Regions from separate parts of the Mus musculus genome. Here all the other regions are reported to be linked to region 1. Evidence: microRNA targets listed by miRTarBase, many of them from high-throughput screens and not tested one by one. Region 1 holds a microRNA gene; each other region holds the end of a gene's coding sequence.

Region 1 (5,398 bases):
AGGAAGTTTAATTTGTACACCCCACGCATTCATCCTCCAAAGTCTAGATCCCCATATGAAGTGATAAAAATTAAATTTGTCATTTATTAGAGAACTTTAGAAATCCTGACAGCCACTTCTACACAGAATTAGTATAACTTCATTTGAAATTAGTATTACTAATTAGCTATCTACTGAGACTACAAATGTAGTTTGGGGTTTTGTTTTTGTTTTTGTTTTATTTGATCAGTTGTTTTTAGGTTTCTCTGTGTAGTCTTGGATTTTCTGGAAACTCACTATGTAGACCAGGCTGGCTTCAAATTCAAAAGATCAGCCTGTGACTGCCTCCCAAGTGCTGGAACTAAAGGCATGTACCACGACAGCCTGGCCTTTCTAAAAAACAAAAATTTAAATTCTTCTTGATTCTTCAGAGTGTTAACATGTATACACAAATATATCCACCACCATTTCTCCCCTCCAAGTCCTTTTATATGCCCCCAACACATACTCCTCAACTCTTTGACTCTTTAAAAATAGCCTACTAAATCCAATTTGTTGTTGCATGGATTTGTGACTGCCCATGAGAAACCTACCAGTTGGGAACAACATGATAAAAGATAATGATTCTCCCTCTCAGAGAAGCTACAACTGCCAAAGACTCCTTAAGATGGGATAGGCCCTGAAGAGCATATCTATGCCAGAAATTTGGCTGGCAAGTTTTATTTTAGTAACCACAGTTGTTTCCTTTACCTTTTCTGGACTGAACCCAGAACTTTGTAGCTATTAAACAAATATTCTAACACTGCACTAAAGTACTCTACCATTGAACTGTATCCCCAGCTCTCTTCTCTTTCTGACTCTAGTTTTGAGTTAAGGTCTCATTTTGTTGTTCAGGCTGACCTAAAATTTACTCTGTAGCCTAGACAGGCCTTGAACCTGTGATCTTACTGTTTCAGCCTCATTGAATAACTAAAATTATAGGCCTCTGCTACCAGGTCTAATTTGTAATTGCCTTCAATACCTTCCAAATTGCTATATCATAACTATTTTAATGTTTGTAATTTCTTAACCAAAGCTAAATTACTTAATGCCCTATGATTTCAGGTCCTTATTTAACAAACAAGTAGGTGGGAGAGATAGCCTGATTTTATCCAATTTTGCATCTATTTATGTAGGTACACATGTGCCACAGCAAGAGTGCAGGGGTCAGAAAACAACTTTCACAAGTTGGCTCTCTCCTTCCACAATGTGGGTGCTATATTGAACATCAGGCTTAGTGGCAGGGGTCCTTACCTAATGAGCTATTATTTCCCAAAACCCTTCTAGTTTTAATACACTAAAAATTTTAAAGCTAAGCATGGTAGTACATGCTTAAAATCACACTGCTAGGGAGATAATGTCAAAGGGGTACTTTTTTTCCTTTTCTTTTCAAAGCTTTACTTATCCTTAGGTTTGACCTTTAATTTGAACCCAAATATTTTGATCTAAAACAAAATGATATGGGCTGGAATGATATGGCTCAGCAGTTAAGAACACTGACAGCTCTTTCCAGAAGTCCTGAGTTCAATTCCCAACAACCACATGGTGGCTCACAACCATCTGTAATGGGATCTGATGCCCTCTTCTGGTGTGTCTGAAGACAGAAACAGTGCACTCATACACATAAAATAAATAAGTCTTTAAAAATAAATAAATAAAAATAAAAAGTAAAAGCACACATTTATAAAAAGCCACATGGTGGCTCACAACCATCTGTAATGAAATCTGACACCCTCTTCTGGAGTGTCTGAAGACAGCAACAGTGTACTTATATATAATAAATAAATAAATCTTAAATAAATAGATAATTAAATAAAACAAATGTAATTGAAGAATTGAATTCCTGGATCAGTAATAGATCCTTGGTACAAAAATTCCTATAAATCAGTTTCATCTAAATTATTGAGTATGACTGCCCAGTAGGAGGAGAGGCATATTTTGACAAGTTTACCAAACAAACAAACAAACAAACAATGAAGGTAAGTTTGTCTGGCATGGTCCTGTAATACCAATACTCCAAAAGCTACAGCAGAAGAATCATGGATTCAAGGCCAGCTTGGAGTACACAATGAGTCTTCACAATATAGGGTAAGGGAAAAAAAAAGCCATCTCAAAAAACAAAATAAACCTACTAAAAGTAATTTTGTTTGTTTTTTTGTTTTTTGAGACAGGGTTTCTCTGTATAGCCCTGGCTGTCCTGGAACTCACTCTGTAGACCAGGCTGGCCTAGAACTCAGAAATCCACCTGCCTCTGCTTCCCAAGTGCTGGGATTAAAGGCGTGTGCCACCACACCCGGCTAAAAGTAATTTTTAAAAAATACCTGTCACGGCCAGGCAGTGGTGGCACACGCCTTTAATTCCAGCACTTGGGAGGCAGAGGCAGGCGGATTTCTGAGTTCGAGGCCAGCCTGGTCTACAGAGTGAGTTCCAGGACAGCCAGGCTATACAGAGAAACCCTGTTTTGAAAAAAACCAAAATATTAAATAAATAAATAAATAAATAAATAAATATTTGTCACATTTCCAACTCTTATCAGTTATAAAATTAACAAGGGGTAATTTTTTTTTTGGTTATTTTACTTCATTAATGTGCTTAGAAGTTCCATTTTAAGTGTTGAACTCAAGGAATTATGTTCAAGAACTTGCCAGTTTCATGTTTGCTTCCACATGCTGAGTTAACGTTCTTTCACATTTTTAAAATAAAAACAAAACGAACACTCATTTCCAATGGTGAAAATAAATTTCAAGCATATAGAGAAGTGGAAGAGAAAGCTTAATCGACTATCTTTAAGTGAACAATCATATGCTGATAATTGTTGAAGCTGGGTAATTGCTCACCTTCACTAGATATTTAGAAGCAAACTCCATTTTTTTTTTTTTCTGAGACAGGGTTTCTCTGTATAATCCTGGCTGTCCTAGAACTCACTTTGTAGACCAGGCTGGCCTCCAACTCAGAAATCCGCCTGCCTCTGCCTCCCGAGTGTCGGGATTAAAGGCATGCACCACCACATAGAAGCAAATTCCAAACATTATTCCTTTCACATTTCAAATGACCTTGGGACATTTGGAAACCAAGCTGTTTATTAATTCTTGGGTAAATCAAGTTCTGAGATTATTTCAGTTACTTTCCAATCCTATTTCAGTTTGGTCCATTTTCTTGACAAGAAATCAGTAGTGGCACTTTCATCTATGATGTAGCTGAAATTCTGCTTCCACCACAAATACATGCTCATTTCTGGATGTGAACAAGTGCTAACAAACCAATATTTATATAGATGCTTTATAATAACATTTATTTATCGCTATAATATATATTATATTATATTATATTATATTATATTATTTATATAAATATAAATTTATATAATAAATATAATAACATTTATTTATTGCTATAATTCAAGCAATTAGTAGTCCAAACTAATCTAGCATATACCTGCACTTTATTTATAACCTGAAAATTTCCCTGAGATTAAAAAAAAAAAGGAAGGAAGGAAGAAAGCACTGTAATCCCTCGGACTCTTGGGAAGTTTCATTTAAAAATCTTTTATATCCCTGGCATAGTGGCATTAACTTATAATTCTAATACTCTGGAGGCTGAGGCAGAGGGATCAACAAATTCAGGACAGTCTGGGCTATACTTTGGGACACTCACAAAAAGTCTTTTATAAGATATTACAACAATGATGGTATTATCACAACTTTCAAAGCACTTATACAATTTTGCATGGACTTTTACTATTCACTATGGACTGAATAGGATGAAGACAGACTAATGAACAGTGTCAGATCACAGCTAGCCATAAGGCTTAAGCACCTGTAGGTGGTTATATTGGTAGGTATATACTGTACCTTCCTACTCTGAAAGCACTTAAAGGGAAAGAGAGTTGGGAATCAGGGACTGGGTGGTTGTTTTGATGGTGGTGCAAGACTTTAATCCCAGCACTTGGGAGGCAGAGGCAGGTGAATTTCTGAGTTCGAGGCCAGCCTGGTCTACAGAATGAGTTCCAGGACAGCCAGGGCTATACAAAATCCTGTCTCGAAAAAACCAAAACAAAACAAAACAAAAAAGACAGTGTCTCACTACCCAGGCCAGACTGGCCTTGAACTTGAGGCTCTCCTGCCTCGACCAATAGAGTAAGTAGTTGGGATTTCCAGGCATGCCTTTATTAGCTACTATGCTATGATATTCTGCTATCAAGAAAGTTGTTCCTTAAAAGTACAGGGTCTTGTCTAACAATCAGATTTTAGAGATGGAAACACACAAGGCAGTTCATTATTGCAGAGGCTTAGAAGAGAATGAAGTGTACAGGAAAAAAAGGTTTGATATTTACTTAAAGCAAAAGAAAAAAAAAAAATTCCCAAAGGCTGAGGATATATTTAGCTCAGTGGGAAAGCACTTGTCCAGGCCCCACTTCTTCGATCCCCAACACGAAGGGAAACCCTTTTCCAATAATTCCATGTCTCCTGCCTGACATTAAACACACAAGTTTGTACTTAAATGACTCTTTTTACCCCTGGCTGATAACAATCCTTCTTGACACCAATAGTTCCTATCTTTTCCAAACACCTAACTAACTACAAGCTCCACAATCTCCCAATTTCAACCTCTTTGGACACTAGTCTTCCCGCCCTCTCAGAGTCAGAGAATTACAAGTAAAGAGTGAACTCGACAAACTGGCTTAACAGAGCCAAATTTGGGATCCAAACGACCGAATAAGAAAAAAGGGGGTGGGGCATTACCTGCAATTCACACCAGGCGACTTCCACAGTGGTTTCGGTGTCCAGACCTTTGTAGACTGTCTTAAAGGAGCCTCTGCCGATTTCGATGTCAAATTTGAGAAAGCGACCGTCATTGGACATTCCCACTGCCTTGGTCTCCAGCTCTTCGATATCATCCTGTTGCTGGCTCCTATCCTCCTGCGCCTCTTTGGCGCTGGCGCCACCACTGCCACTTCCACTTCTGGACGGCGGTGGCTCCTCTTTGCTCCCCACGAGGCTGGGCTGGGACACCGGGCGGTCTTTGCTGGTACTGCTGGGGACGGTCGTGGTGGCCGAGCCTACAACGGCTTGTTCCCCAGGGGAGGCAGCAGCCGAGGGTTGCTGAGACACCTGGGAAGCAACGGTGGCGGTCAAAGTTTCCTCTCTGTGAGGTTCGGGTGGAGCACTCTGGGGCACCACTGCAGGTACACTAGGTTGCGGGATAGAGAGAGGGAGGCCCGGCAGCTCCAACGCGGTGGCATTGGAGTCGCAGATGACGCTTCGGCGGAAGAATCGGTGCTCCGTGGGGGTGGTGGTGGCGGCCGCCCCACGACTGTCCTTGTCCATAGTGTGCCGGCGGCGCCGATATTCCTCCGTCCTGCCAACTCCCGAGTCGGCGA
Region 2 (5,398 bases), not on the chromosome of region 1:
AGTCCTGTCCTAACACACACACACACACACACACACACACACACACACGGAGAGGTGGCTTAGCGGTTAAGAGCACTGACTGCTCTTCCGAAGGGTCTGAGTTCAAATCCCAGCAACCACATGGTGGCTCACAACCATCCATAATGAGATCTGATGCCCTCTTCTGGTGTGTCTGAAGACAGTTACAGTGTACTTACATATAATAAATAAATAAATCTTAGGAAAAAAAACCCACACACATACAAAAAATATTTCATTCATCTGCTTAATAATTGTCCAGGGGTCTACCTTAGGCCATTCTGGCACGTGCATGGGGTACAAAACCCCTCCCTTATAAACCTCACATTTTATTAGTGGAAAGTGGGGATTCCCATAAGTGAACAGTTATTATTCAAGAAGGAAAACAAAATTTCTATTTCAATTCCTGGCCTTGCATTCTGATCTATACGCTGCTTGCCCCTCCCAAGTGCTGGGATTATAGATGTATGGCACTGTGGCCTATGAGAACTAAGTCTATTTTGAGGGGAAAAGCAAAGTAGGGATACCGGCCCTACTGGTAGAACTGGATCCATCACAAAGCCAATAAAAACATGGCTCTGCCAGCTGCTGGCAGGTAACAAAGAAAAGGCCAGTGGAGGAGACAGGGGAGCTTAAGACAGTCTGGATGTGGGAAGTTAATGTGTGCTAAGGGTGGCACACCACAGAGCCCCGGAGGAATTTGTCCCAGGTGGTGACAGAAACTAGTTCACCACTGGGAGAAGAAAGGTGGGTCTCTCTCTCTACTTGAAACTATGTAGAAGACAGACTTCAAATGGTTTGAAGACTGAAATGTGAAAGTTAAAATCATAAAGTTAATATAAGAAAATACAGGATGGCCGAGAGGTTGGCTCAGTGGGCAAACATACCATCAGTCTGGACCCATACAGCTGAAGGGAAGAATACACTCCCACGGGCTGTCATTTTATCTCCAAATTCAAGCCAAGGCATGCATGTGAGGATGTGCTTGTAACTGCATTTTTGTACACTGATTTTCACATGCGCGCTTGCGCAAGCGCACACACACACATACACACAATGTACTTTAAGAAGATGAGGCTGGGCATGGTGGTGCATGCCTTTAATCTCAGCTCTCCAGAGGTGGAGAGCAAGTGGATTTCTTTGAGTTCAAGGTCAGCCTCACTAACTCAAAAGGATGAAGCTAGGCTGCGTTTCATGAGACGATGCCTCAGAATAAAAACAGAAACAAACGAAAATAAATTTAATTTTTGTGGTTACATGTGATAGAGAATAAAAGTATAATTTAGGACTGGGTATAGTAGTTCATGCCTGTAATCCCAGCCCTCTGGAGGTCAAGGCAGAAGGACTGCCTCAAGTTCAAGGCTGGCCTGGGCTGGAAAGGAAGACTTTGTCTAGTACAGAATAAACACAGAGATTAGAAACAGAGGGAGGCTACACACTAAGGAGCAGTGTCTGAGTGATTGTACTAACACACAGTGGCAGCCTGTCCTAGTTTGCTTTGTTGCTGTGGTAAATACCATGGTCCAAAACAACCTGGGGAATAAAGAAAGGGCTTGTTTCATCTCACAACCCCCCAGGTTACAGCCCCTCAGTGTAGGAACTTGGAGGGATAAATGCAAGCAAAGACTGTGAAGGAATACTTTTTCTCCTCCTCCTTCCTCTTTCTCTCCCCTCCTCTTCCTCCTGTTCCTCCCTTTCTCTTCCTCCTCTCCTCCTTCCTCTTTCTCCTCTTCTTCCTTTCTCTTCCCACCCGCTCCTTTCTCTTTCTCCTCCTCCTCCTTCTTGTTATTGTTTCTCAAGACAGGGTTTCTCTGTGTAGCCCTGGCTGTCCTGGAACTCACTCTGTAAACCAGGTTGGCCTCGAACTCAGAAATCTGCCTGCCTCTGCCTCCCAAGTGCTGGGATTAAAGGCGTGCGCCACCATGCCCAGCTCATTTTGGGGTTCTTTAAAAAACTTTTTTAGACAGTTTCTCACCTGGAACTCTGTAGAGAAGGCTGGCCTCGAACGCACAGAAATCTGTCTGCTTGTCTCTTGATGCAAAACCCCACTCCCACCTGGGTCTTGCTATATTGTCCAAACTGGATCTTAAGTTTCTGGACACAAGTGTTCCTCAGACTTCAGCTTCTCTGGTTGTTGGGACAAATGAGGACAAACTATGCCTTGCTTGATAGTCTGTGTGTTTGTGTTTGAGTGGGATTAGTCAGGGAACTTGTACATGAGTGGTATTAGTTATAGATCTTGTGCATGCTAGCCAAACAGTCTATACTGGACTACAATCCATTCCTCTGAATGACAAACTAAGATCCAAAGTGAGTTATGGCCAGGCTTGTTGGGCACAGGCATTTAACCCCAGCACTCAGGAGGCAAGAGGCAGGCTGGAGCTATGTGAATTCAAGGCCAGCCTGGTATACAAAAAGTTCTGGAACTTACTCTGTAGACCAGGCTGGCCCCAAACTTAGTGATCTGTATTTCTCTGCCTCCTGAGTGCTGGGCCACCATGCCTGGCTGAGAAAAAAATAAATTTTTTTAAGTTCCAAAACCTAGCAACCACAGTGTACAGGCAGTGGTTTGTAGACCTCCACAGCTACACATGCAGGTGTAGCAAAAATAGAACCATCTCTGGTATTTTATTGGTTTTAAAATGTTCCATCAACAAAAATGTCCTTTTCCTCTGTGTGTGTTTGAGTGTGCCTGTGGTTTGAGACAGGATCTTGCTGTCGCTCACGCTGACCTGGATTTTGTGATCCTCCTGTCTCAGCCTCCCCATGCCCTGATAACAGGATGGCTCAAATATACTACTTTCATGAAAGATTAAAACATCTCTACAAAGAATAACTGCAAGGGACCGGGGCTGTAGTTCAGGGGATAAAACATTGCTAAGCAAACACACAAACCTGAGTTCAGGTCCCGGGCAGCAGCTGGAGGCAGTGACTGGCTTTTGCTAACCCTGCTGCTGCAGGGAGGGTGGAAAGAAGAAAGCTAAGGGGCCCCTGGCTGGTGTCTAGATGAAACTGAGCTGCAGGCTGTGAGAGATCTCATCTGGAAAGGAAAGGTGGATAAAGGAGCTTGCTGCCAGGCCGGACAACCTGAGTTCCACACTCAGGCCCCGGATGGTGAAAATACAGAACTGCTGGAAGCTGGCCTCTGATCCCATGTGCACAGAAGCACATGCACACGTGAGACCTAAAGAAATAACTGTAATCTAAAACAGAAGGTAGATGAGCCAACAGTAAATTTCACTAAGGCTGTTGGTAGGATCCTGGGTAAGACTCCTATAAAAAAGAAAGTGGACTGAAAGTTTTCCTGGCAGAAAAAGAAAAAAAAAGAAAAAGAAAAAGAGAAGGAGAAGGAGAAAAAGTATCTGACTTTTCAAATCTAAGACTATGAGCCTTTTGTCTTTCTTCTCTGTGTAGCCTTGGCTGTCTTGGAACTTGCACTGTAGACCACAGGTCTGCCTGCCTCTGCCTCCTGAGTGCCAGGACTAATGTTAATGGCATGCACCACCAGCACATGGCCCTTTTCTTGCCTGAACATGTCTGTGTACTGAGTGTGTGCCTGGTGCCTGTGTACTTCAAAAGAGAGCATCCAATCACCTAGAACTGGACTCCTACGGAAGGTTGTCAGCACTCAAGGATGTGTTGGAATTAAGCCTGGTCCTCTCTGCAGGAGCAGCCAGTGCTCTTTAGCAGCTAAGCCACCTCTCCATCACCAGCTACTTGAATGTTTTTGATTACATTTGTGTGTGGGTGTGCACACATGTGGGTGCAGGACTCAACCAATCCTGTGGAGAAACAGGACGGCAACAGGCAGGAGTCGGTTCTTTCTTTCTCCCATGTGGGTCCTGGAGAGGCCCCCACAGCATACACAATAACAACAATAGTAAGACAGAACTATAGCAATATAGAAGTAGACTAGGAAGGAGTTAAGACGAGTAAGAATCAGAATCACAACTGAGTCTTTTCAGTCTTTATTACCACACAATGCTGGCTCACACCACCATTGTAAACCTTGTATATCAATGGCAAAACAACACAATTTAAAACATATGAAGAAAACAACAAATAAATAAAGGAATAAAAAATGTTTCTCTAAAAAAAACAAAAAAAAAACAAAAAAAAAAAAACAAACAGCCGGGCTTGCGTGTTATCGCACGCCTTTAATTCCAGTACTCGGGAGGCAGAGGCAGGTGGATTTCTGAGTTTGAGGCCAGCCTGGTCTACAAAGTGAGTTCCAGGGCAGCCAAAGCAACACAGAGAAACCCTGTCTTGTATTGAAAAACAAAACAAACAAACAAACAAACAAACAAACAAAAAACAAAAAAAAAAAACAAAAAAGAAAAGAAAAGAAGAGAAAAAAGAAAAAAAAAGCAAAATATTATGAGTTGTTTTTTGACCTTTCCTCTGAAAAGCTAATTTATTCCAGTTCCCTCTTTTTGAGTGGAGGGAGGACTTGAACAAATCTCCATATTATCCTGGGTCTTTCATTGGAAAAGCCTATCAAGAAGATGAACAGTCAGGTTTAATAAGGACCTTGCAGGCACTTAGGCGGGAAGTACAGGGTCCTGAGTTCCAGGGTAGCTAGTTTATGTAGTGAATTCCATGGTAAAACCCTGTTGCAAGAAAAAAGAGACATTACCAAGTGAAGGAAACAGTTGAAAGGAACCAGGTCTCGCCATCATCTTCTGGAAGGAAGTGGGCCCGGCTGGCAGCAGTACCTGGGCTACTTTCGAAGTCTCTCACCTCCCAGGTGGGGACAGGCCTAAAAGGCCGACAAACTTTCTTCATCACATCAGCCTTTTGGGGTCTATTTTTTCCAGGTGAACCAGAGGTTTGAGCTGCTCTGCAAAGTTCCTCATGTCATCAGAGACCATGTCCTGCCCAGCCGGGGCGACAACACTTAATTCCACAAGATAGGAGAGGGACAGGGCCTCGGTGCTGTCCGTGTTCCCTGGGACCAGGATTCGGAAAATCTTGTACACCACAACCTTCATGATGCCCTTCCGAAACAGGTGTCCTTTGGCGACAAACTCATGGTCCATGCGGAAGCCCATCTCCATCAGGAAGTCCGTGAGGTTCTCAGACGTGGCGATGTCCACACAGTTGCGCACCAGGGCGTGGCGGTTCTTGTCTCCCATTTCGGGCTGTCCCAGGTATCGCAGATGCCAGGGTGCCCCTGCCCTGTCCATGGAGCGCCGGGCCCTTAGGACGAACGGGCTGGCCTGCTGGCCCTTAAGCAGGAAGACCATCTCGTGATCAAGGAAGGTCTCAGGCTCCATGTTGTCACACAAACCTCGGAGGCGATGGATGAGGCTTTCCAAACTGTGGTCCAAAACACTTCCTGAAGAGGCACAAGCACAGTGAGTCCCGGCTTTCATTTCAT
Region 3 (5,398 bases), not on the chromosome of region 1:
CACATGTACTGTATTACAAACTCATGAAAGCAAAGTGTTGGGGCCTGTCACTTCAAGAGCAAAAGTCTAAAGTGGCTGTCATTTAGTAGCACAGTGTTTCTGGAATGCTAAAGAATTTTAACCTATTAAAGGAGAAATGAAGATAGGTGTGGCAATGCATGCTTGTTATCCTTCACCTGGGAGGCTAACACAGTGCAGAGCTGAGGCCAGCTCGTCAAGGCTATCAGATGGGAACTTTATCCCAGAGGCTGAGTAGTCAAGTCTGCTTAGTGTTATTACACAGGACCTGAGTTTAGTTCCCATTTCAGGTGGCTAACAACTGCCTTTAACTTCAAGGGATCCAAAGCCCTCCTCAGGCACCTGTACCCACATAGTTTAAAAAGAATCCTTTTCTTTTAAAAGGAAAAAAACCCTTTATTTTAATAAAAAGTAATTTTATTGCTGAAAGTACTCTCTAATCTTGTTGCTGTTTTAAACTTAGTAGTAAAACTTAAGACATCATTTCAGAAGTGAAACCATCCAGGGAAATTATCTGGATATGAACGTCTTAGATTTTGAACTGCAATGTGCTTTGTTACTGACTAGCTTAGGAAAAGCTGAATATGCAATCCCCCAGATAGGCCTGCCTGTCATCATTTCATAGGGAACATACTTTTAGAATCTGCACATCACACGAGGCTTGTACAAATACTTACATACTGTGTTCGGGTGCTGATTCTCTGGCCACTGTGGAAAGCATACTGTTGTAAAATGACATCTTAGCCAGTTAGAAATGTAAAAGCCACCCACCGGGGAGTGTCCTTTATAGGGAGACTGTCTTAAATTAGACTGGAAAGTGAAGCACACAGCAGACTCACTTCTGCTTCTCATTTGTTACAACAGGTACTCAACAGATGTCTACCCCCAAACTAAATAGCTGGTTTTGTAAAGCAGGTGTAACAATGTAGCATTATGAGAAAAATACTTGTTTCAACTAGTATGAAATGTATCCAACAGACTCTTCCATAGCAACTGGGCGTAACTAGGACTTCCGTGGTTCAGCAGCAGGGTGTCCCGTCCTTTTCTGTCTTTATGCAATTGTGCTCTTGAGTATCCTTGTCTCGCTGAAGGCACTGATAGCCCACACCTCAAGTGTGCCTTTAAGCCTGACTGAGTATTTCTCTATGAGGTATCTTGGAGGCATTTTTCTCCTCCTAAAATAAGTTCCAACACATGAAGCCAACTGACTGAATGCCAGCCATGCCTAAAGCTTAACTATAGAAGCTGGGGACTTATGCCATGGTTCACAGTATTCTGAGGCATGACAGGTACACCCCTCTATCTGTACAGTTGCTTGTGAAATACTGTTGCAGCAAGCTCATACTGTAATCAATAAAGTGCTTTTCACCATGGCTCACTGTACCTTGTTTTAAGTCAAATTTTAGTAAGATTTAAAAAGTTATGCCCTGGAACTAAACTCAGGTTCAGTACTTTAATGGTCAGCTCTGCTTCCTGTGTTTAAATACTGATCTTCCTTCTCTTCTTCCTCCTGCTCCTCCTCCTTTTCCTCCCCCTTCATAAAAAGGGGCAGTAAGGGAGAGATTGAGTATTATTGATCCAAAGCTAGCTTTTACTTTATTGTTAAAGGGTACAGATTTCTCATTTATAAGTAAACCATCCCTGTGGGGCACGAGAGCCAGGTTTATAATCTAGTACTTGGGAGACTGAGAGAAGCAGGAGGATCCCAAGTTTGAGGCTAGCTTTGCCTCCATGAGAAGACCCTGCCTCAAAAGAAACACCCTTCTCCTGTAGCTCCCTTAGCGATATATTCTTAAAAGTCAAAAGTCTTAAAAATACCATAGATTTTAATTTTTTTTAAATATCCATTTTTTCTTAGATTTATTTATTTTATGTGAGTACACTGTAGCTGTCTTCAGACACACCAGAAGAGGGCATTGGATCCCATTACAGATAGTTGTGAGTCACCATGTGGTTGCTGGGAATTAAACTCAGGACCTCTGGAAGAGCAGCCAGTGCTCTTAACCTCTGAGCCATTTCTCCAGCCCAATCACATAAGATTTTTAAATACTTGTATTTATTATCACATTGCAGTTTTAAGATTAACAATTAAGATTTTAAGTTTGTATTCCAGGTCGAGCCCACCCTGATCTACAGAGCAAGTTCCAGGATGGCCAGGGATACACAGAGAACCCTGTCTTGAAAATAAACCAAAGGTAGAGGATGTTTGTATTAGTTCTGTTTAGGGAATCCTCCTGGCTCAGTGCTTATCAGCTGCACAACTACCATGGAAGACTTCTCAAACTGTGCTCCTGACAGTGGTGAGCCAGGCATCTCACACTTTCTGTGACTGGGCAAAGGCACTATTATACAGTGTATGTACAATAGTACTACAGCACAGTGACAGGACCTCATGTGAGAGCTTACACGACTACCATGAAAATATCTGAAGGGAGTGGAAAACAGTCACTAACTGAGATAAATGCTATATTTACCAACTAATAGGCGGATAGGTTTATTTTCATCTTGCAAGCTTGCATACTTATAAAAATGTTTTGTAAAAAGTTTAAGATCATACAAAGTTTATAAATACTGTAAACATACACAGTAAATCATCAAGTATGTGTGTAGCAACTAATCAGTAACCGTCATGATTACAGTCTGTAATGCACGAGCCTACCAGTGGCAGGCGCACTCTTGTCTGGTAAAAGAGCTAGTGTCTGCATTTCAACACTCCATGCTCAACACCCGTAACTTCTGAACTTCATCAGCTGGCTCTACATTCTTAATCAGTGAGGAAAGCATTCTGGACTACAGATACTGGCTTGCAGACTTCAGAGTACACTGGGACAGACTTGAAGCTTGCTGCAGACCCCAAACTTGATTCATACCTTGTTGAGAATCTACACCTTACAAATCTTTACAAGTTTAAAAATAATGTTGACAATCCCGGGAGCAAACCCAGAGAACCAAGCTGTAGCTGGCTAATTATGTGCTCCAAGTAACTGTGTAACCTAGGTTAGCAGACCTCAATTCTAGATACTACTTTTTCATGTACTATTCACCCAGTCCCACTTGGTTGCCTGTACCATTTGGGGGACTAAAAATCAGCAATAAAAGCAAAAGGTAGTCACATGGATTTAAATTTGAATACTGCAACCCAGCACCCAATCTACATAAAAATTAAGTGGTTTTTAGAAACTTCTCTATGGTCTAAGTAATGATATATAACATTGTAATAGTCTTCAAGTATTTTAAAAATAAGAGGTGCATCTAGGGCTGGGTATGCCTTTAATCCCAGCACTCTGGAGGCAGGCAGATTTCTGAGTTCAAGGCCAGCCTGGTCTACAAAGTGAGTTAGTTCCAGGATAGCCAGGGCTACACAGAGAAACCCTGTCTCAAAACTAATCAACCAAACAGACAGACAAAAAATAGGTGTGCCTATTGTGAAGACAGGCCTTTAGGAAAGAAATACTGGGAGTTTGCTGGATCTCTTTGCCCCTTTCCTCAATGTGGCCATATTAACTAAATACTCCTCTGCTCCTGCCTGAAGTGCTGACCTTTGACACTGCAGTGGGTAACCCTTGGGGTGGCACTGCTGACTTCCTGAAGTGATCCAATGTTAGCACTTTAATTTTCATTGTCAGGTGGAGAATAATCCTGTCTGCTATTTACAAGCATTTCCATACCACTGTCAATCAAACATCAATACCTGAACTATAAACATGTCACTAACCCAGAGTGGTAATTTGTAATAGAGCCCAAGAAATTCATGTAATTCAAATCAAAGCTTCCAGTGGGGACACGCCTGGACACGCCCAGGGTCTCGGTGAGTGTCCTGCTGAGAACCAGTTGCCACAGTCACTGCACCACACTCCACTCCACTCCACACACTTTCTGCTCCCATTTCACCCCTTCAGACCTTCCACTTCACACTTAGGCAGAAAAGCTCTCCTTGCTGGACTCAAGGCTGAAAATGTGTCTAAAGAGAGAGAGCAGGAAAGCAGACCCAAATACTTCATGCGTGGCTACAATGATAGGCCTCGTTACTATTTCACATCAGCTTTAATGGGAATAAAAGAAAGTAAAAACTGTTTAGTAGTGGTTACATCCTTGCTGTGAGGACAGAGTGATTGCAGGACCCCCCCAGGAGCAGCCCACACCCCTGGTTTGAGCAAATCGGCTTATAAACAAGTTCACTATTCCCATTAAAGAAGCATCAAGAACTAGCACTGAGAAAGGATGAAAAGGTCTCTAACTCCTGGATGCCAGGAAGCAGCTTCTGAGAGCCGCAGACAGCCAGCCTGGTGAGGAGCTGCAGGACCCACCCTCAGGGGCCGCACAGCCGGTTCCACTGTTTCTAAAGGAATTCATCATTTAACCTTAACAATTCAGTCTTTACTCCAAACTAATGCTAAGACAAGGCGAATCACAACACTTCCAAAGGTGCAACCCCTGAGACAGGTCATTACCACAATCTCCGCAAGGCATCGATACTAAGAGTTAGTAACTTGTACTGAGGTCATTTCATAAAGTAACATTTCCCATCTTCCAAGTCCGCTTCCTCCTACAGTGCCTCTGCCGTTAGGATTCTCCACTGCTCGGGTGTAGAAACTGCTTCGAAAAATTCTCCAGCTCACTTTCAAGTTGAACAGCTTTATTTCTAATGAAAAGACAATGAATACACATCAACTCAATTATCCTAACAGTCTATAAGAAAAGTACGCTCTACCCAAACTTAGAAACTGCCCCTAAGCAGCTGCGGCCCCTCGATGAAACTCACGCATGGCTGGCCTGCTGTGCTCACAGGTCAGGAGCCTTGGGCTTCAACAGCAAACAGCCTAACACATGGCTTATACGGGAGTCACCCCTCGGGTCACAAGCATAACTGTCTTGGAAACTGCCTTTAAGTACTGTGTAAAGAACGAAGTTCTTTGCTACGTAAGGATCACATTAGAATCGTACTTGATGAAATCAAATTGCCTATGAGAGGAAGCTCTGACTCAACTGCCAGCCACCTATCTATGCAGCATATTTTCATTCCATTCAGGGGATGTACTCAACAGAAAATGAAATCTGTGTGGAGAGAAGAAAGGGCTTTTGGTTTTGTTTTGTTGTTTGGCTGTCTCTGAACATGTGACTAAGGTCACAGAAGTGAAGTGTACATAAGCCAAGAATGCCCTTGACTCTGCAGCAACCCTCCTGAAACGTGGGCAGAAGGGCTGAGCCCAAGCTGGTAATTAGGATTCCAAACAGTCAGGCCTTGGTGCCCTAGAACAGCTTCTAAGATGAGCGCAGACACCATTCTGATTGCACTGTGCACTCTACGCACAATACAGAGCGCACTTCCATACTCAGCGCTCACAGCCTGCTCCTAAGATGAGCGCAGACACCATTCTGA
Region 4 (5,398 bases), not on the chromosome of region 1:
TCCCTGGCTCTTTTTTTTCCTTTTAGAGACAGACTCCAAAGCCAAGGCTGTCCTCAGACTCATGGCTACCCTTCTGCCTCAGCCTCTTGCTGCAGGAATCATAAGGGTAACTGGTCACTAGGCTCAACTAATAGTAGTGTGTCTCCCCCCCACCCCCCCATTAATAGGACAGGTCTAAACAACTCAGCCAGGACTCTGCATAGCTCTGGCTAAGTTCAGCAGGCTTGGGTCTCAGTACTTGTGACACAGTCATGTGGGCCATGGTTCTGGTAGAAAGCTGTCACCTCCCTCATGTCATTTGGACTTCAATGAAAGGACTGGGGGCGGGGGGAACTGAGACACCCCCATACTGCATACAACTGCTACTGCTTTTTGAGACAGGACCTCATCCTTACCAGAGCCTGGGCTGTTATGGACACATGGCAATCCTCCTGCCTCAGCACCCATCTGCTGGTATTACAGGCACACACCATGCCAAACCCAGTGAAAGGCTGTTTTGTTTGGGGTGTGTGTGTGTTTTGTGGTACCCGTGCATGTCCACAAGTGTAAGGTGTGAAGGTCAGAGTTCAACATCAACTGTCATCCTCGGGGCACCGGTTTCTGTTTTGTTGAGGCGGGATCTCCCACTGGCCTAGAGTGCTAGGCTGGCCAGTGAGCCCCAGGGTCTGCTGCCTCTGCTACCCCAGAACCAGACGACAGGCATACTGGCTCCACTCTACCCGACCTTTTGATTTTAAACATCATGGGTTTTAGAAACAGAACATAGGTTTTCTCAGCAAATAAGCCATTTCCCAGACAGAAAGGCTGGCTGTGACCTCTTGGAGTAGCATGTGGGGCCTGGGCCAAGGCCAAATCCTTATAAGCCAAATCTCGCTACAACTCCTCAGTAAGTAGAAAGGCTTGGATTACAGAGCCCACAACCACACACGCACCAGACGCTGCAGTCCCCTGACAATCACCCTCGTGCCTTAGGACCACGGGGAGCTCAGAGATCCACAGCACCAGGCCAAACCCGCACATGGAAAAAACAAGGAGTAAATGTAGCAACAGAGATTATTATAAATATATAACTATATTTATTTTGAATATTAAATAGTTTTTAAATTACAAGCAATTTATTGAATCACACTAAGCTTCAATATACAGTAAAAATCTTACAATTTAAAAATGTACACAATTTAAACTCCAAGTTCATTAACTGTTATATTGCCATGAACCCCTTCTGATTGCGTTAAGTACAACCTGGTGGGTAGCAGGCCGTGGGTGTGACTGTCCCACCCAGATCCCTGGCGAGGACAGGATGAAACAGTGGGAACATGCACAAGACCCAGCTTCGCCTGAGCAGGCTTCAGTAACCAAACGCCACACGTTCAGCCCCCGGGACGGCCGTGGGTGACGCAATACTGCCAACACATCTTAAGAACTTATGTGTAAGTTAAACAGAGCTTCCTAAAAGCCAAGACTGGTGCCCCCGTTTGCTTCTTAAGAAATATTGAGATGTATGTTTGACGTAACTGTGTCTGCTCACTCTGACTACAAGGTGGCTTCTCTCAAGGTGGGCACTCTGAAGCATGGCACATAGAGCCTGACACTTGGTCGCATCGGCGGCGTTCTCAGGCTGAGGAGCTGCCTGTCTCTTTTCCCGGCCTTGGGGACAGACATGCAGTGGGTCACTAATTCTACAAATGCCCTATGGGAAGTATGGAAAAAGGGGAAGGTTTAAAAGGCATTGTACAGCAGGGAGACAGACCTCCTCAGAGAGACCCATCTCTCTAAAAACAGGCCTGCATGGCTGGAGGCTGGTTGCCATCGCAACCTTTCAATGAATGGCTTCTGGCCCAGACAGAGTCTCTCAGGAAGGGGGAACTACTTTTTTCTGACTTAGGTCATCTTCTAACAAATAGAAGCTATCAAGAGGGACTTGGAGGGCTCATTATTTTTATTAGAGGACTTAAAGTCAGCTTCCAGTCTGGTAGGTGGAGGGTGAGCACTCAAGGGAGGGCAGAAAGAAAAGTCACCAAGCCCACCACATTCCAGCCACAGTCACCACCGGCTCGCTTCACTGCTAACGTTGAGTAACCAGGTTTGGAAAGCCCACCAAGGGCACCTAAGTTATCATTAAAAGATAAAACCAGCTGGGTATGGTGGCAGCATCAGGGGGCAGAGGCAGGTGGATCTCTGAGTTTGAGGCCAGCCTGGACTATACAGCAAGTTCCAGAACAGCCAGGGCTACACAGAGAAACCCTATCTTGAAAAACAAAAAACAAAACCTAAACCAAAACAAAACCCACACTGGATGGCAAAGCACATGCTCACATTTAAAAAATGGGCTGGAGTTTAGTCTACTGAGATTTCTGTCTATTGCTTGAGATTTGGGGAGGATGTGTTGATGCGTGTTATACAAAGTCTTCCCTTCCATGCAACGACACAGAAGATCTATCCCACCCCCACCCCAACTCAATATATAAAATGCTTTTATTTTGGCAATTTACCATGAGAACAATATAGATATAAATATAAACGGGAATTGTATTGTTAAAATCCCCTCAGCATGGTGAAAGATGGCCAGCCCTCAAATGTCAGTAACTCTATCCCAGGCTGGCTGCGAAAGGAGGCTACACATATGGATCCACCTGACTGTAATCAGTGAATCTCAACTTCTGAAACCTGTAATTTGAAAAAAAAAAACAAAAAAAACTTATTATAATTACACCTCCTTTCTTTCTCAACTAAAGCTGGTAGATAGAGGTAAAAAAATAATTAAAAAAAAATCAGAAAGTCCACACAGCAAAAATTCAGTTATGACAATTTTGGCAAAATTACTTTGAAATGCCCTGTTTTTAATATACATGTCACAAAATCCAGTGCTTTCTACGGAGTCCAGGCAGGCACAGTCTGCACCAAGGATGGGAAAAGGAGACTCTGTTTTAAAATTTCTTCTGTTGATCGTAAAGTTATTGCTTAGTATAAAAAAAACGCATGGATCGAATCAGAGTTGATGATAAAGGTCATGATTTGTTAGGTGAACTCACACCGACACCCACACTTGCACTCTGCAGGAGAGTCCAAGTCCTTCTGATTGATAGCAGGATGTCCTGGCCAGGGCCTGGAGACTCAACCCATTGTCACACTGGAGCCTGGACAGCAGGGGCAGCACCGGGATATTTGGGGCGAGGAGCTCAGTGAGAAGAGCCACGCCAGCAGGTGCAGCTCCCGCCCAGCATGGCTTCGCCACGCTGCCATGGCCACCAATACTTGCTTGGGGTAGGAAAGCGAGGTCTCCCTCTGTGTTAGGGACAGCAGACTCCTCCGATGATGTACTGAAGCTACGCTGAAGATGTGAAATCCCTTTCAGAACAAGAGGAGAGCTGGGTGCTTGGTACAGGAAAGGGGCCATGAGGGCTGCTGGAGGCCCTGCTGGGGTCTCTGCCCTGCTACTTGCAGCTACAGGGGCTGGCTGTATCCTGGGGGCTATGGCCAGGGATGGCTTCTTCCCAAACAGCTCCCTCAGCAGCACCCAGAGTGGACAAACTGCTCTTCTCACTTACAGCTCTGTGGGGACCAGTGTCTCAGAGGTCCCACCTGCCTGAGACGCAGAGCTCCCGCAAGCTGGCCTCTGTGCTGAGCAAGTGGTGCATGGCCTCATCTCGCCAGAAAAGGACCCTGGGCACTGAGTGATGGGTGCACCTCTTCAGGGATTTCTACCAAAAGAATTTCAAAGCACGAGAGGCAGGGCAGGCTGCTCAGAGTACCCACCTTATATAGAAACATGCTCGATGCAATCAACGAAACAGAACAGCAGTTTTGGCCTCATCAAAAATATGTCCTCTAAGAACATAAAACACAACCTAACTCCCAGAATCAAAAGGGCCCGAGGGAGGGTACCTGTGAACGGTTCCCGCGGGTGGGTCTAAGAAAGAAGAACACTCAAAATACCGAAGCTTTACAGTGCCATGCAGAGCAGACACCCAAGGAGACAGAGACAAAAACAAAAACAAAAAAGAAAATCAAACCAGCGGTCAGCACCAGCTTGGCCTGCCATATCTTCCTTGGATAATTTACGATGCTGTACAATATTGGGAGCTCAGAACACTCACCCACAGTGCAGTCAAAGAGCAATTAGTGATTTCCTAAAGACAATAAATATGGCTCACTTGTGAGCACTCCCTCCCCTGGTGCGCCTGCCCCTCTGTGGCACCTGTGGCGAGGCAGACATCCACACCCACACACCCCACACAGACCCACGGCCTGAGGTGCTCAGGTCCTCCAATACTCGTGAGCCAGAGCAGTGTGGCAGTGTGGCCACTTCGGCAGGATGCCCAGCACGAGTGCAGGAGCAGCCCAGGCGAGCGGGCAGACGAGCGCTGCAGAGGGAGTTGCTTCCTGGCGTGGTGGCCCCGCTTTCCATCACTCCTGAGCCGCTCACTGTCTGGTGCCAGTCAGCATGGAGTGGATTGCGTTGCTCAGGTGGACAAGCAGGAGCGCTGCTGGCTGGGAGAGTGTCTACAGCCAACTAGTCCTTGTCTCCGTCTTCACTGCTGCCTATGTCCAGACAGAAGCAACATAACAGCGCAGGTCAGATTTAAGAGCCGACTACCCAGAGAGTGCCAGCATGGAGGCGAGCAGACCAGAACGGCAGGAAAAGGAAGCATAGCTGGTGCCCTCCTGTGCTGCCCTGTCTCCCCTCCTTCCCACAACCTGCAGGGCTGCACACACAGGTGCTTGGCTCCCACAGAGGCTCCATGGTCACACTCGGGCGCTGACCTGTACACCTGCCCCCAGAGATCCTCAGGCTCTGGCATTATCTCATCGGCACAGGTGAAAACCAAGTAAACAAAAGTGCTTTATATCCTACAGTTATTATTTGATCTGTAAACTTCAAGTAAAAAATGTACCTATTAATATTTATCTCCTGATCTTGGTATAGGGAAAGGGGCCCATATGTTCAGGTATTGCTACTTCAAATGGCCCCTGCTGTGAGTTCCCAGCTGGCCGTCCAGTATCACACAGAGACCAAGACTTAATGGCAAAATCAACACTGCTGGGGAAGAGCCCACAAGGCTGGGCTCACGTCCAAACCACAGGTCAAGTGTGGCTAGAGCAGGTGCCTGTGCAGGGTGCTCCCTGGGGACAGATGTGTAACCTGAGGAAGCGGGGCTGGCAGCAAAGGGGAACGGAAAAGACATGGCAGAGCCCGCTCTGGGACCTCCAAGCTCTCCAGGGCCGTCCATCAGGGTGGACAGAAATGGACACTGGGAATGAGCCCAGTGTGGGAGTGTGGCTGCATATGCACTGTCAGGCTGTGAGGGATGCACCAGGCCTATTATGTCAGCCTCTTGGGGATCTAAGGCGGAAGACTCAGATCAAGTTCAAGTTTAAGGCCAAACTAGACTCTAAG
Region 5 (5,398 bases), not on the chromosome of region 1:
TACTGCATTTCATATTATAAAAATTGCCTATTTTAATATTCTTTAGTTATCGAGATTAATATCTATTGTTACCTCAAGTTAAATATAATTGACCTCGAAATTTTAAGCATAGTATTTTTCTCTCTTGCAAAAATTAGAGTTGCAACATTCATTTCTTCCTTTTGTTTCCTCAGGTCTCATCTACCATTTGCAACTGACCTCTTCTGCAAAGGACTTCAGAAACCTAGCACTACCCTGGCTCTGCAAACACGGTTCTCTAGGTGAAGCCTCTGCAGTGGTTTGCAGAAGTACTCAGACGAATGAACCACAGTAGTTCTGCTGATTCTGAGGACGTAGTTTAGAGACTGAATTCTTTGGAAAGGACATAGGGACGATTTGCACATTTGCTTGCACATCACACACACACACACACACACACACACACACACACCCACACACACACACTCTCTCTCGATACCTTAGGATAGGGTTCTACCCTGTTGCTCAGTGACAAAGAATCACTCTGTGGCGGAGGCAGGCTTCAAGCTTGCAGCAATCCTCCTGCACCAGTTTCCTGAGTGCCAGACTTCCAGGTGTAAGCTATGGCACTTAGCAGAACACTAGCTGAATCAATGAAGACACTGAGGTTCCAAGAGGGAACCTGAATTATGAAGGTGAGTCAGAATCCAGATTTCCTGGCTCTACCACTCTTAACCTGTATCTGTTAGACCCCAAGCTCTGAGCTCATAGACAAGCTAATTTAAAATGCTTTTAATAAGCAGAAGGCTCAGTTAGTACGGGGTTCAGGATACTGCTTACTGGCAATATTTGACTAGCCTCTATTTTGTTTGTTTTTTAAGGCCTACTGACTGTAGTGTAATTTGTAGGAAACATGTTGCTATGTATACCCATTTGAGGGTAATAAAAATGTTGGTAATTTTCAGCCAGCACTTTCCAGGTATTTCCCTTTTTATCCTTCATGTCCTTAAAAGAAACCAGAGTCAACCAGAATTAACTGCTTTTGTTGTCTAAGATGAATGTATGCCTTTTATACTTCAAAGCAAAAGTCAAGTTGGAGGCACAGTTCGTAACTTACTCGTTCATATTGAACTTATAATGAATGTCTTTAGGCAACTTTGCCCTTTTACACAGTTCTTGATATAGTTCTTATTTCAAATGAGATTATTTACTGAGTAATCATCTGTCCTCACATAAACAACTTAAGTGATACTAGCCTTACACAGAACTTCCTCAGATTCCTGGAAGTGGCTTTTGCTCTTTGGTATAGATCTGCTACAGTGGAATTGAAAAATAAAATGTACGTTAGACACACTTGCCTGTAATCCCTGCACTCAGTATACTGAGGCTGAAGAACTGAATTCCAGGTAGCATGGCCTGGATAGTAAGATCCTGTCTGAAACCCACTCCTCCATCAATGTGCCCCAAAGAAATGGAAAACAAGAAGCAGCTAACTGCTGCTTCTATACTGAAGGTTCCCTTTTCTCTGAGATGTAATCCACAACCTACAAGACCAGCAGTGAGCTTAAGTCAAGACAATCAGATATTCTAGTCTGAATTTATAGGAGGACATCGAATGGCAGCCAAACTTCTCAACGGGACCAGAATCTGTTGTATGCCCAGGAAACAGGTCCATTTTTATGTGGGTGCTCTCAGAACCAAGCCACTAAAGAAAACAAAGTGGTGGACTGACAAAAAGCTAACAAGACATTGAAAGCCACACCAAAGAAAAACCAGGAGGGCGGGGGAAGTAAGCTGCAGCATTTAATCAGTGGTGATCGGGCTCACCACGAGACTTCAAAAACAGTTAGTGACAAAAAGGATCAATCAAAGGGAAACTTAGAAAAGTAAGTTATGTTAAATTATTGATTACATTTGATAAGCGTTAGTTGTTTTTTTTAAGATTTATACTTTTTATTATTCAGGTGTTTTCTTTTGCTAAAGTAATTTTTAAAAACTGTTTAGTTTTATAATTTTTAAAGATTTTTGCCTATGTTATTATAAATAAAACAATGAACAGAATGGATATTTGCTAATTTGTCAATTTATAAGTGGGGTAATTATGAAAGATATTAATTTATGAGTATGGTTCTAACACATAATTCACTGCGCCAATATACCAGTGCAGAGGCCTTTCCTTACAGCTATATTTATTATGACGTAGGCACTGTGTTAAAATTTTGGTTGGGAAAAAAAAAAATCACATACACACACACACCCCTTCTCCCTTACCACACTTACCAACACAAGACTTTCGTAGCCACCCAAACTGTGGGAACTTCCCCAGCCAGCCAGGAAGCAGGTCCTCCTGAGTGGACACACAGTGTCACTAGTTCTGCTCATCATCTCCCCAGGGGAACGGCTCATTCCCATAACTGACCACCTAGCTACAAACTGAGCTGGAGTGACTCCTTGGTAAGGAATCTGTTTGATGAGCACATCACACGGTGCAGGGAAGCCTACTTACTGGTTTGCTGTAAAAGGCATTCCCGTGAAGACATGTATCGGGTGAAGCCCAGGCAAAGTGCAGATATTCCATGCCCTCCCTAGTGCTTGCCTCTGGGAACCAGCAGCATCCAGCGCTAGCCCTTGGGTTGTCATGGAAACGTCACCTGAAAGGTGATTCAATCTCTGGCACTGGGTGAGCAGCTCACTTCAAAGCTCACCTCCCTAACTAGAGGCTGTGAGTTAGGACTGACAGTGCCTGATCTGTGCTCTACTAAGAACTTCTAGGTGACCAGGCCTCATCCCTAAGAGGTAGCCAGCCATCATACACGTACATAGATACTATCACTTGTGGGTTTCCAGGATTTGGGAAGTTGTATGTCAAAGACTGCAAATATATACTTAACAATATCACACTTTAATAACTCCACTAAAAACTACTCTCAAGAATATACTACTTTGCTTAGTGAAAACTCTTGAGACTTTAAAGTACAACGGGGCTGAGGCTTAACTCACTGGCTGAGTGAATGCCTAGCTTGTACTAGACTCTAGGCTCAGCAGATGGCTTTGTTGTAAGTCACACAGCTGCTATGCTTCAGGCTAAAATGGAAAGCGAGAGGTTTACTCCTGGAGTCCTTGGCTTTCAAGACTGCACTATACTGTTCTTTAGACCTTGTTTAAGAGTAGAACCAACTTACCAAGAGTAAGTCCAACTCCAAAATAAAATGCTAGCGGTTTCTTCCCCACCATCCTATCGGCAGGATGCAGTCCAGGACCTCAGTGGATGCCTGAGGCTCTATACAATACAGGATCCTCAACATGGTGGTAATGCTCACCTTTCTGCTTAAAGGGTGCACTGCACAGCTTGCCTTGGTGCATGTCAACTGTTAGTGGCACTCCTCATGCGCTTTGGAGTCATTATTAAATGACATTATTTGAACACAAGCACTGTCATTCCACACACTCAACCTGATTACCAAGGCGGACAGAGAATGGGAAATGCCAGAAGAAGGGATTCGTTCTATCTCAGGAGGCAAGGTTCCATCATCCCATCTAGAAATGTACAAAATTTAAAACTGAGCAACTGCTTAGTCCTGGGATCTTCCATTTAATGTTTTCAGACCATTAACTGCATGTTAGTAAAATTGAAAAAACACACCCAAAGGCCAGAAAAGTGCTGCCTGTGACTCGGTCTTGCACTTTCTCCCATTCTGTCCATAGCTGAAATCTATAGGACGGCTTCTCTCAGGCAGCCAGCTCCTTACTGTGGGGACAGCATGTCGCATCTTCTGTGTCCTGCAGCACAGGTGCTTTGTTGGCAGTGTGGGGGCGGAGACTAAGCTGGATCGCTTCTTTACTGATACCCACCTGCTTCCAGTTTGTTAAACCACGTTTAAATGGCAAGGAATCACCTCTTATTCTTATTTTAAAAAAAAAATCCAAACAACTAAACGTAGAGGCTCACACTATCCACTGTCTGAGGGCCCGAGGAAGAGGGTCTCGCGGACATGCTCCTCCTCCAGTTCCTTCAGGTCCTCCAAGAGAACACTCTTCAAAGACTGAGGCATGATTAGGCGATCCAGACAACACAATTTAAATCTTTTGGGAAGAATTTTACTTGTACAAAATCTAGCATGATAGAGAAATATGAAATATTTAGATGGATCAATGATCGGAATAAATAAGAATATTTGGGTTGCTTTTTGGTTCTGTTGTTTGGGTTTTTTTGTGGGTGCACATTTTTTAACCAGGTTCTCATTAAGTAGCTCAGGCTAGCATCACACTATCTTCCTTTCTCAGCCTCCCAAGCTTCTGGATTTACAGGTCAGTGGCACCCTGAGTACTGGGTGCCTAATTCTGGATGTAATAAAAAGATCGGAAGCCATGTGGTGATGCGTGCCTTTAATCCCAGCACTCGGAGCAGAGGCAGGTGGATTTCTGAGTTCGAGGCTAGCCTGGTCTACAAAGTGAGTTCCAGGACAGCCAGGGCTACACAGAGAAACCCTGTCTTGAAAAACCAAAAAAAAAAAAAAAAAAAAAAAAAAAGAAAGAAAGAAAGAAAAAGATCAGAGACAAGTGACCGCTAGCACAGCTTCCAGCCCTCACATCAGTCAGCGGGCTGGCAAGGAGTAGCGGAGTAGCCTGGCACTGGCGTTCCCAGACACAGCCCCCTGGTCCTCAGTGCTTGCTTTGTTGATGTGGCGATGAAGGGTTCCTAGGGAGGCTTAGCAGCTCCTCAATCCTCTGAGCGTCTCCCTCAGGCTGAATCTTCTCCAAGCCACTTTCAATCTCCATCGGGAGGAGCTCAGTGACTTGCAGACTGCTTCTCCTACAATCAAAGGATGGACACGCGTCAAGTGCTGCTGTAGCACGTCTGTACAGAGACTGCGAACAAAGGGGCAGGGTCTGCCACACCCTCCCTGCTTTGCTCTGATACTTATGAGCAATGGTTCCCGCACTCACAACACAGACTTGCTTCTCTCTTATGCTGCTCCCCTTTCAGTCTAACCCTGATTTCCAGTCCAGTACCAACACGGACTGGACAGCTACCATATTCTGGGAGACTGCCCTGCAGCTCTTCCATGAGTAATGAGCCTGTGCTAAGGCTTACATATCAAAGCTGGGCTGCCCTCCTGCCCTCCAGACCTGAGGCTCATGAAGACCATGCAATAATGATCTAGGTGAAGTCATATAGGATAACTCTACAGATACTTATTTAGGAAGAGCAGAATCATATACATATTTATGAAAAGTAGAATCAAATTTCTAACAGATCAGTTCTTCTCCTAAATAGAATCTTAGTATCTTTGTTTATCAAGGCCACCTACAACTTAAATCTCAACCCAATCCAATTTGACCACTCTGCAACCCCACCTATGTCTAGTCTTCTATAGTTTCTGCTAGGACAATTTTAAAAACCATTTCTCTATATTATTTTTAAGCAGAGGCACAAATA
Region 6 (5,398 bases), not on the chromosome of region 1:
CAGGTGTTCAACGTGAGTAGCTGTTGCCAGTTTTCCGCGGTGGAGAACCTCTTGACACCCTGCTGTCCCTGGTCATTCTGGGTGGGTGCATGGTGATATGCTTGTTGTATGGAAGACTTTGACTGTTACAGTGAAGTTGGGCTTCCACAGTTACCACGTCTCCCCTGTTTCTTGCAGGCCGGGTGCTTGTCCATTGCCGCGAGGGCTACAGCCGCTCCCCAACGCTAGTTATCGCCTACCTCATGATGCGGCAGAAGATGGACGTCAAGTCTGCTCTGAGTACTGTGAGGCAGAATCGTGAGATCGGCCCCAACGATGGCTTCCTGGCCCAACTCTGCCAGCTCAATGACAGACTAGCCAAGGAGGGCAAGGTGAAACTCTAGGGTGCCCACAGCCTCTTTTGCAGAGGTCTGACTGGGAGGGCCCTGGCAGCCATGTTTAGGAAACACAGTATACCCACTCCCTGCACCACCAGACACGTGCCCACATCTGTCCCACTCTGGTCCTCGGGGGCCACTCCACCCTTAGGGAGCACATGAAGAAGCTCCCTAAGAAGTTCTGCTCCTTAGCCATCCTTTCCTGTAATTTATGTCTCTCCCTGAGGTGAGGTTCAGGTTTATGTCCCTGTCTGTGGCATAGATACATCTCAGTGACCCAGGGTGGGAGGGCTATCAGGGTGCATGGCCCGGGACACGGGCACTCTTCATGACCCCTCCCCCACCTGGGTTCTTCCTGTGTGGTCCAGAACCACGAGCCTGGTAAAGGAACTATGCAAACACAGGCCCTGACCTCCCCATGTCTGTTCCTGGTCCTCACAGCCCGACACGCCCTGCTGAGGCAGACGAATGACATTAAGTTCTGAAGCAGAGTGGAGATAGATTAGTGACTAGATTTCCAAAAAGAAGGAAAAAAAAGGCTGCATTTTAAAATTATTTCCTTAGAATTAAAGATACTACATAGGGGCCCTTGGGTAAGCAAATCCATTTTTCCCAGAGGCTATCTTGATTCTTTGGAATGTTTAAAGTGTGCCTTGCCAGAGAGCTTACGATCTATATCTGCTGCTTCAGAGCCTTCCCTGAGGATGGCTCTGTTCCTTTGCTTGTTAGAAGAGCGATGCCTTGGGCAGGGTTTCCCCCTTTTCAGAATACAGGGTGTAAAGTCCAGCCTATTACAAACAAACAAACAAACAAACAAACAAAGGACCTCCATTTGGAGAATTGCAAGGATTTTATCCTGAATTATAGTGTTGGTGAGTTCAAGTCATCACGCCAAGTGCTTGCCATCCTGGTTGCTATTCTAAGAATAATTAGGAGGAGGAACCTAGCCAATTGCAGCTCATGTCCGTGGGTGTGTGCACGGGTGCATATGTTGGAAGGGGTGCCTGTCCCCTTGGGGACAGAAGGAAAATGAAAGGCCCCTCTGCTCACCCTGGCCATTTACGGGAGGCTCTGCTGGTTCCACGGTGTCTGTGCAGGATCCTGAAACTGACTCGCTGGACAGAAACGAGACTTGGCGGCACCATGAGAATGGAGAGAGAGAGAGCAAAGAAAGAAACAGCCTTTAAAAGAACTTTCTAAGGGTGGTTTTTGAACCTCGCTGGACCTTGTATGTGTGCACATTTGCCAGAGATTGAACATAATCCTCTTGGGACTTCACGTTCTCATTATTTGTATGTCTCCGGGGTCACGCAGAGCCGTCAGCCACCACCCCAGCACCCGGCACATAGGCGTCTCATAAAAGCCCATTTTATGAGAACCAGAGCTGTTTGAGTACCCCGTGTATAGAGAGAGTTGTTGTCGTGGGGCACCCGGATCCCAGCAGCCTGGTTGCCTGCCTGTAGGATGTCTTACAGGAGTTTGCAGAGAAACCTTCCTTGGAGGGAAAGAAATATCAGGGATTTTTGTTGAATATTTCAAATTCAGCTTTAAGTGTAAGACTCAGCAGTGTTCATGGTTAAGGTAAGGAACATGCCTTTTCCAGAGCTGCTGCAAGAGGCAGGAGAAGCAGACCTGTCTTAGGATGTCACTCCCAGGGTAAAGACCTCTGATCACAGCAGGAGCAGAGCTGTGCAGCCTGGATGGTCATTGTCCCCTATTCTGTGTGACCACAGCAACCCTGGTCACATAGGGCTGGTCATCCTTTTTTTTTTTTTTTTTTTTTTTTTTTGGCCCAGAATGAAGTGACCATAGCCAAGTTGTGTACCTCAGTCTTTAGTTTCCAAGCGGCTCTCTTGCTCAATACAATGTGCATTTCAAAATAACACTGTAGAGTTGACAGAACTGGTTCATGTGTTATGAGAGAGGAAAAGAGAGGAAAGAACAAAACAAAACAAAACACCACAAACCAAAAACATCTGGGCTAGCCAGGCATGATTGCAATGTCTACAGGCCCAGTTCATGAGAGGCAGAGACAGGAAGACCGCCGAAAGGTCAAGGATAGCATGGTCTACGTATCGAGACTCCAGCCAGGGCTACGGTCCCAAGATCCTAGGTTTTGGATTTTGGGCTTTGGTTTTTGAGACAGGGTTTCTCTGTGTAGCCCTGGCTGTCCTGGAACTCGCTCTGTAGACCAGGCTGGCCTCAAACTTAGAGATCTGCCTGACTCTGCCTTTGAGGGCTGGGACGAATGCCACCACTGCCCAACTAAGATTCCATTAAAAAAAAAAAAAGTTCAAGATAATTAAGAGTTGCCAGCTCGTTAAAGCTAAGTAGAAGCAGTCTCAGGCCTGCTGCTTGAGGCTGTTCTTGGCTTGGACCTGAAATCTGCCCCCAACAGTGTCCAAGTGCACATGACTTTGAGCCATCTCCAGAGAAGGAAGTGAAAATTGTGGCTCCCCAGTCGATTGGGACACAGTCTCTCTTTGTCTAGGTAACACATGGTGACACATAGCATTGAACTCTCCACTCTGAGGGTGGGTTTCCCTCCCCCTGCCTCTTCTGGGTTGGTCACCCCATAGGACAGCCACAGGACAGTCACTAGCACCTACTGGAAACCTCTTTGTGGGAACATGAAGAAAGAGCCTTTGGGAGATTCCTGGCTTTCCATTAGGGCTGAAAGTACAACGGTTCTTGGTTGGCTTTGCCTCGTGTTTATAAAACTAGCTACTATTCTTCAGGTAAAATACCGATGTTGTGGAAAAGCCAACCCCGTGGCTGCCCGTGAGTAGGGGGTGGGGTTGGGAATCCTGGATAGTGTTCTATCCATGGAAAGTGGTGGAATAGGAATTAAGGGTGTTCCCCCCCCCCCCAACCTCTTCCTCAGACCCAGCCACTTTCTATGACTTATAAACATCCAGGTAAAAATTACAAACATAAAAATGGTTTCTCTTCTCAATCTTCTAAAGTCTGCCTGCCTTTTCCAGGGGTAGGTCTGTTTCTTTGCTGTTCTATTGTCTTGAGAGCACAGACTAACACTTACCAAATGAGGGAACTCTTGGCCCATACTAAGGCTCTTCTGGGCTCCAGCACTCTTAAGTTATTTTAAGAATTCTCACTTGGCCTTTAGCACACCCGCCACCCCCAAGTGGGTGTGGATAATGCCATGGCCAGCAGGGGGCACTGTTGAGGCGGGTGCCTTTCCACCTTAAGTTGCTTATAGTATTTAAGATGCTAAATGTTTTAATCAAGAGAAGCACTGATCTTATAATACGAGGATAAGAGATTTTCTCACAGGAAATTGTCTTTTTCATAATTCTTTTACAGGCTTTGTCCTGATCGTAGCATAGAGAGAATAGCTGGATATTTAACTTGTATTCCATTTTCCTCTGCCAGCGTTAGGTTAACTCCGTAAAAAGTGATTCAGTGGACCGAAGAGGCTCAGAGGGCAGGGGATGGTGGGGTGAGGCAGAGCACTGTCACCTGCCAGGCATGGGAGGTCCTGCCATCCGGGAGGAAAAGGAAAGTTTAGCCTCTAGTCTACCACCAGTGTTAACGCACTCTAAAGTTGTAACCAAAATAAATGTCTTACATTACAAAGACGTCTGTTTTGTGTTTCCTTTTGTGTGTTTGGGCTTTTTATGTGTGCTTTATAACTGCTGTGGTGGTGCTGTTGTTAGTTTTGAGGTAGGATCTCAGGCTGGCCTTGAACTTCTGATCGCCTGCCCCTGCCCCTGCCCCTGCCCCTGTCCCTGCCTCCAAGTGCTAGGACTAAAAGCACATGCCACCACACCAGTACAGCATTTTTCTAACATTTAAAAATAATCACCTAGGGGCTGGAGAGAGGGTTCCAGCTAAGAGTGCACACTGCTCTTGGGTAGGACCTGAGTTTAGTTCCCAGAACCTATACTGGGTGGCTCCAGGTCCAGAGGATCCAGGACCTCTGGCCTCCATGGGCATCTGCTCTTAGCACATACCCACATACAGATACACACATAAAAATAAAATGAAGCCTTTAAAAACCTCCTAAAACCTAGCCCTTGGAGGTACGACTCTGGAAAGCTGGCATACTGTGTAAGTCCATCTCATGGTGTTCTGGCTAACGTAAGACTTACAGAGACAGAAAAGAACTCAGGGTGTGCTGGGGGTTGGGATGGAGGAAGAGGGATGAGTAGGGGGAGCACGGGGAACTTGGGCAGTGAAAATTCTTTGCAGGACACTAGAGGAGGATAAATACCAGTCATTGCACCCACTACTGGACAACTCCAGGGAATTATGCTGGGTGAAAAGAGAAGGCCCCAGGTATTGGCTGCATTGGCTGCATTTGCGTAACATTTTTTTAAATTGAAAAGAAAAAGATGTAAATCAAGGTTAGATGAGTGGTTGCTGTGAGCTGAGAGCTGGGGTGAGTGAGACATGTGGACAACTCCATCAAAAAGCGACAGAAAGAACGGGCTGTGGTGACAGCTACCTCTAATCTCCACCTCCGGGAGGTGATCAAGGTTAGCCCTCAGCTAGCCTGTGGTGCATGAGACCCTGTTTCAAAAACTTTAATAAAGAAATAATGAAAAAAGACATCAGGGCAGATCCTTGGGGCCAAAGGCGGACAGGCGAGTCTCGTGGTAAGGTCGTGTAGAAGCGGATGCATGAGCACGTGCCGCAGGCATCATGAGAGAGCCCTAGGTAAGTAAGGATGGATGTGAGTGTGTCGGCGTCGGCGCACTGCACGTCCTGGCTGTGGTGCTGGACTGGCATCTTTGGTGAGCTGTGGAGGGGAAATGGGTAGGGAGATCATAAAATCCCTCCGAATTATTTCAAGAACTGTCTATTACAATTATCTCAAAATATTAAAAAAAAAGAAGAATTAAAAAACAAAAAACCTATCCAGGTGTGGTGGTGTGCACCTATAGCCACGGGCACTTGGAAAGCTGGAGCAAGAGGATGGCGAGTTTGAAGGTATCTGGGGCTGTACAGCAAGACCGTCGTCCCCAAACCAAACCAAACAGCAAACCCATTATGTCACA

What was found. Region 1 holds the annotated microRNA mmu-miR-706 (AGAGAAACCCUGUCUCAAAAAA, at 2,177-2,198, opposite strand). A microRNA usually pairs through its seed, bases 2 to 8, with sites in the 3' UTR of a target mRNA and lowers its output. Matches are read on the target gene's strand: a 7mer-m8 pairs with bases 2 to 8, a 7mer-A1 pairs with bases 2 to 7 and ends in A, and an 8mer does both.
Region 2: miRTarBase lists Med18 as a target of mmu-miR-706. Seed matches in the 3' UTR shown: 7mer-m8 at 4,272-4,278.
Region 3: the mRNA of Mfn1 is a reported target of mmu-miR-706. Seed matches in the 3' UTR shown: 7mer-A1 at 4,231-4,237 and 7mer-m8 at 3,383-3,389.
Region 4: the mRNA of Lmtk2 is a reported target of mmu-miR-706. Seed matches in the 3' UTR shown: 7mer-m8 at 2,237-2,243.
Region 5: miRTarBase lists Timmdc1 as a target of mmu-miR-706. Seed matches in the 3' UTR shown: 7mer-m8 at 4,439-4,445.
Region 6: miRTarBase lists Dusp3 as a target of mmu-miR-706. Seed matches in the 3' UTR shown: 7mer-m8 at 2,525-2,531, 7mer-m8 at 3,320-3,326 and 7mer-A1 at 3,662-3,668.

The regions. Positions count from the first base shown.
Region 1 is chr6:120,032,114-120,037,511 of GRCm38, forward strand. Mir706 (microRNA 706) reads right to left here and starts at 2,198; the gene lies at 2,115-2,198. Wnk1 (WNK lysine deficient protein kinase 1) reads right to left here. Exons shown (of 28, transcript NM_001199084.1): 1 at 4,761-5,398.
Region 2 is chr4:132,454,758-132,460,155 of GRCm38, forward strand. It overlaps Med18 (mediator complex subunit 18), which reads right to left. Exons shown (of 3, transcript NM_026039.3): 3 at 3,972-5,356. The coding sequence ends at 4,803. Among named protein-coding and RNA genes, the nearest start is that of Med18, 6.5 kb to the right of the region's middle.
Region 3 is chr3:32,576,325-32,581,722 of GRCm38, reverse strand. Mfn1 (mitofusin 1) reads right to left here. Exons shown (of 18, transcript NM_024200.4): 18 at 2,498-4,660. The coding sequence ends at 4,582. Gnb4 (guanine nucleotide binding protein (G protein), beta 4) reads left to right here. Exons shown (of 10, transcript NM_013531.5): 10 at 1-1,391. Among named protein-coding and RNA genes, the nearest start is that of Gnb4, 38 kb to the left of the region's middle.
Region 4 is chr5:144,183,860-144,189,257 of GRCm38, reverse strand. It overlaps Lmtk2 (lemur tyrosine kinase 2), which reads right to left. Exons shown (of 14, transcript NM_001081109.2): 14 at 1,050-4,542. The coding sequence ends at 4,514. Among named protein-coding and RNA genes, the nearest start is that of Bhlha15, 3.7 kb to the left of the region's middle.
Region 5 is chr16:38,494,313-38,499,710 of GRCm38, forward strand. It overlaps Timmdc1 (translocase of inner mitochondrial membrane domain containing 1), which reads right to left. Exons shown (of 7, transcript NM_024273.2): 7 at 3,531-4,771. The coding sequence ends at 4,621. It also overlaps a transcript of Cd80 not described here. Among named protein-coding and RNA genes, the nearest start is that of Gm41453, 14 kb to the left of the region's middle.
Region 6 is chr11:101,969,719-101,975,116 of GRCm38, reverse strand. It overlaps Dusp3 (dual specificity phosphatase 3 (vaccinia virus phosphatase VH1-related)), which reads left to right. Exons shown (of 3, transcript NM_028207.3): 3 at 178-3,974. The coding sequence ends at 383. Among named protein-coding and RNA genes, the nearest start is that of Sost, 5.4 kb to the right of the region's middle.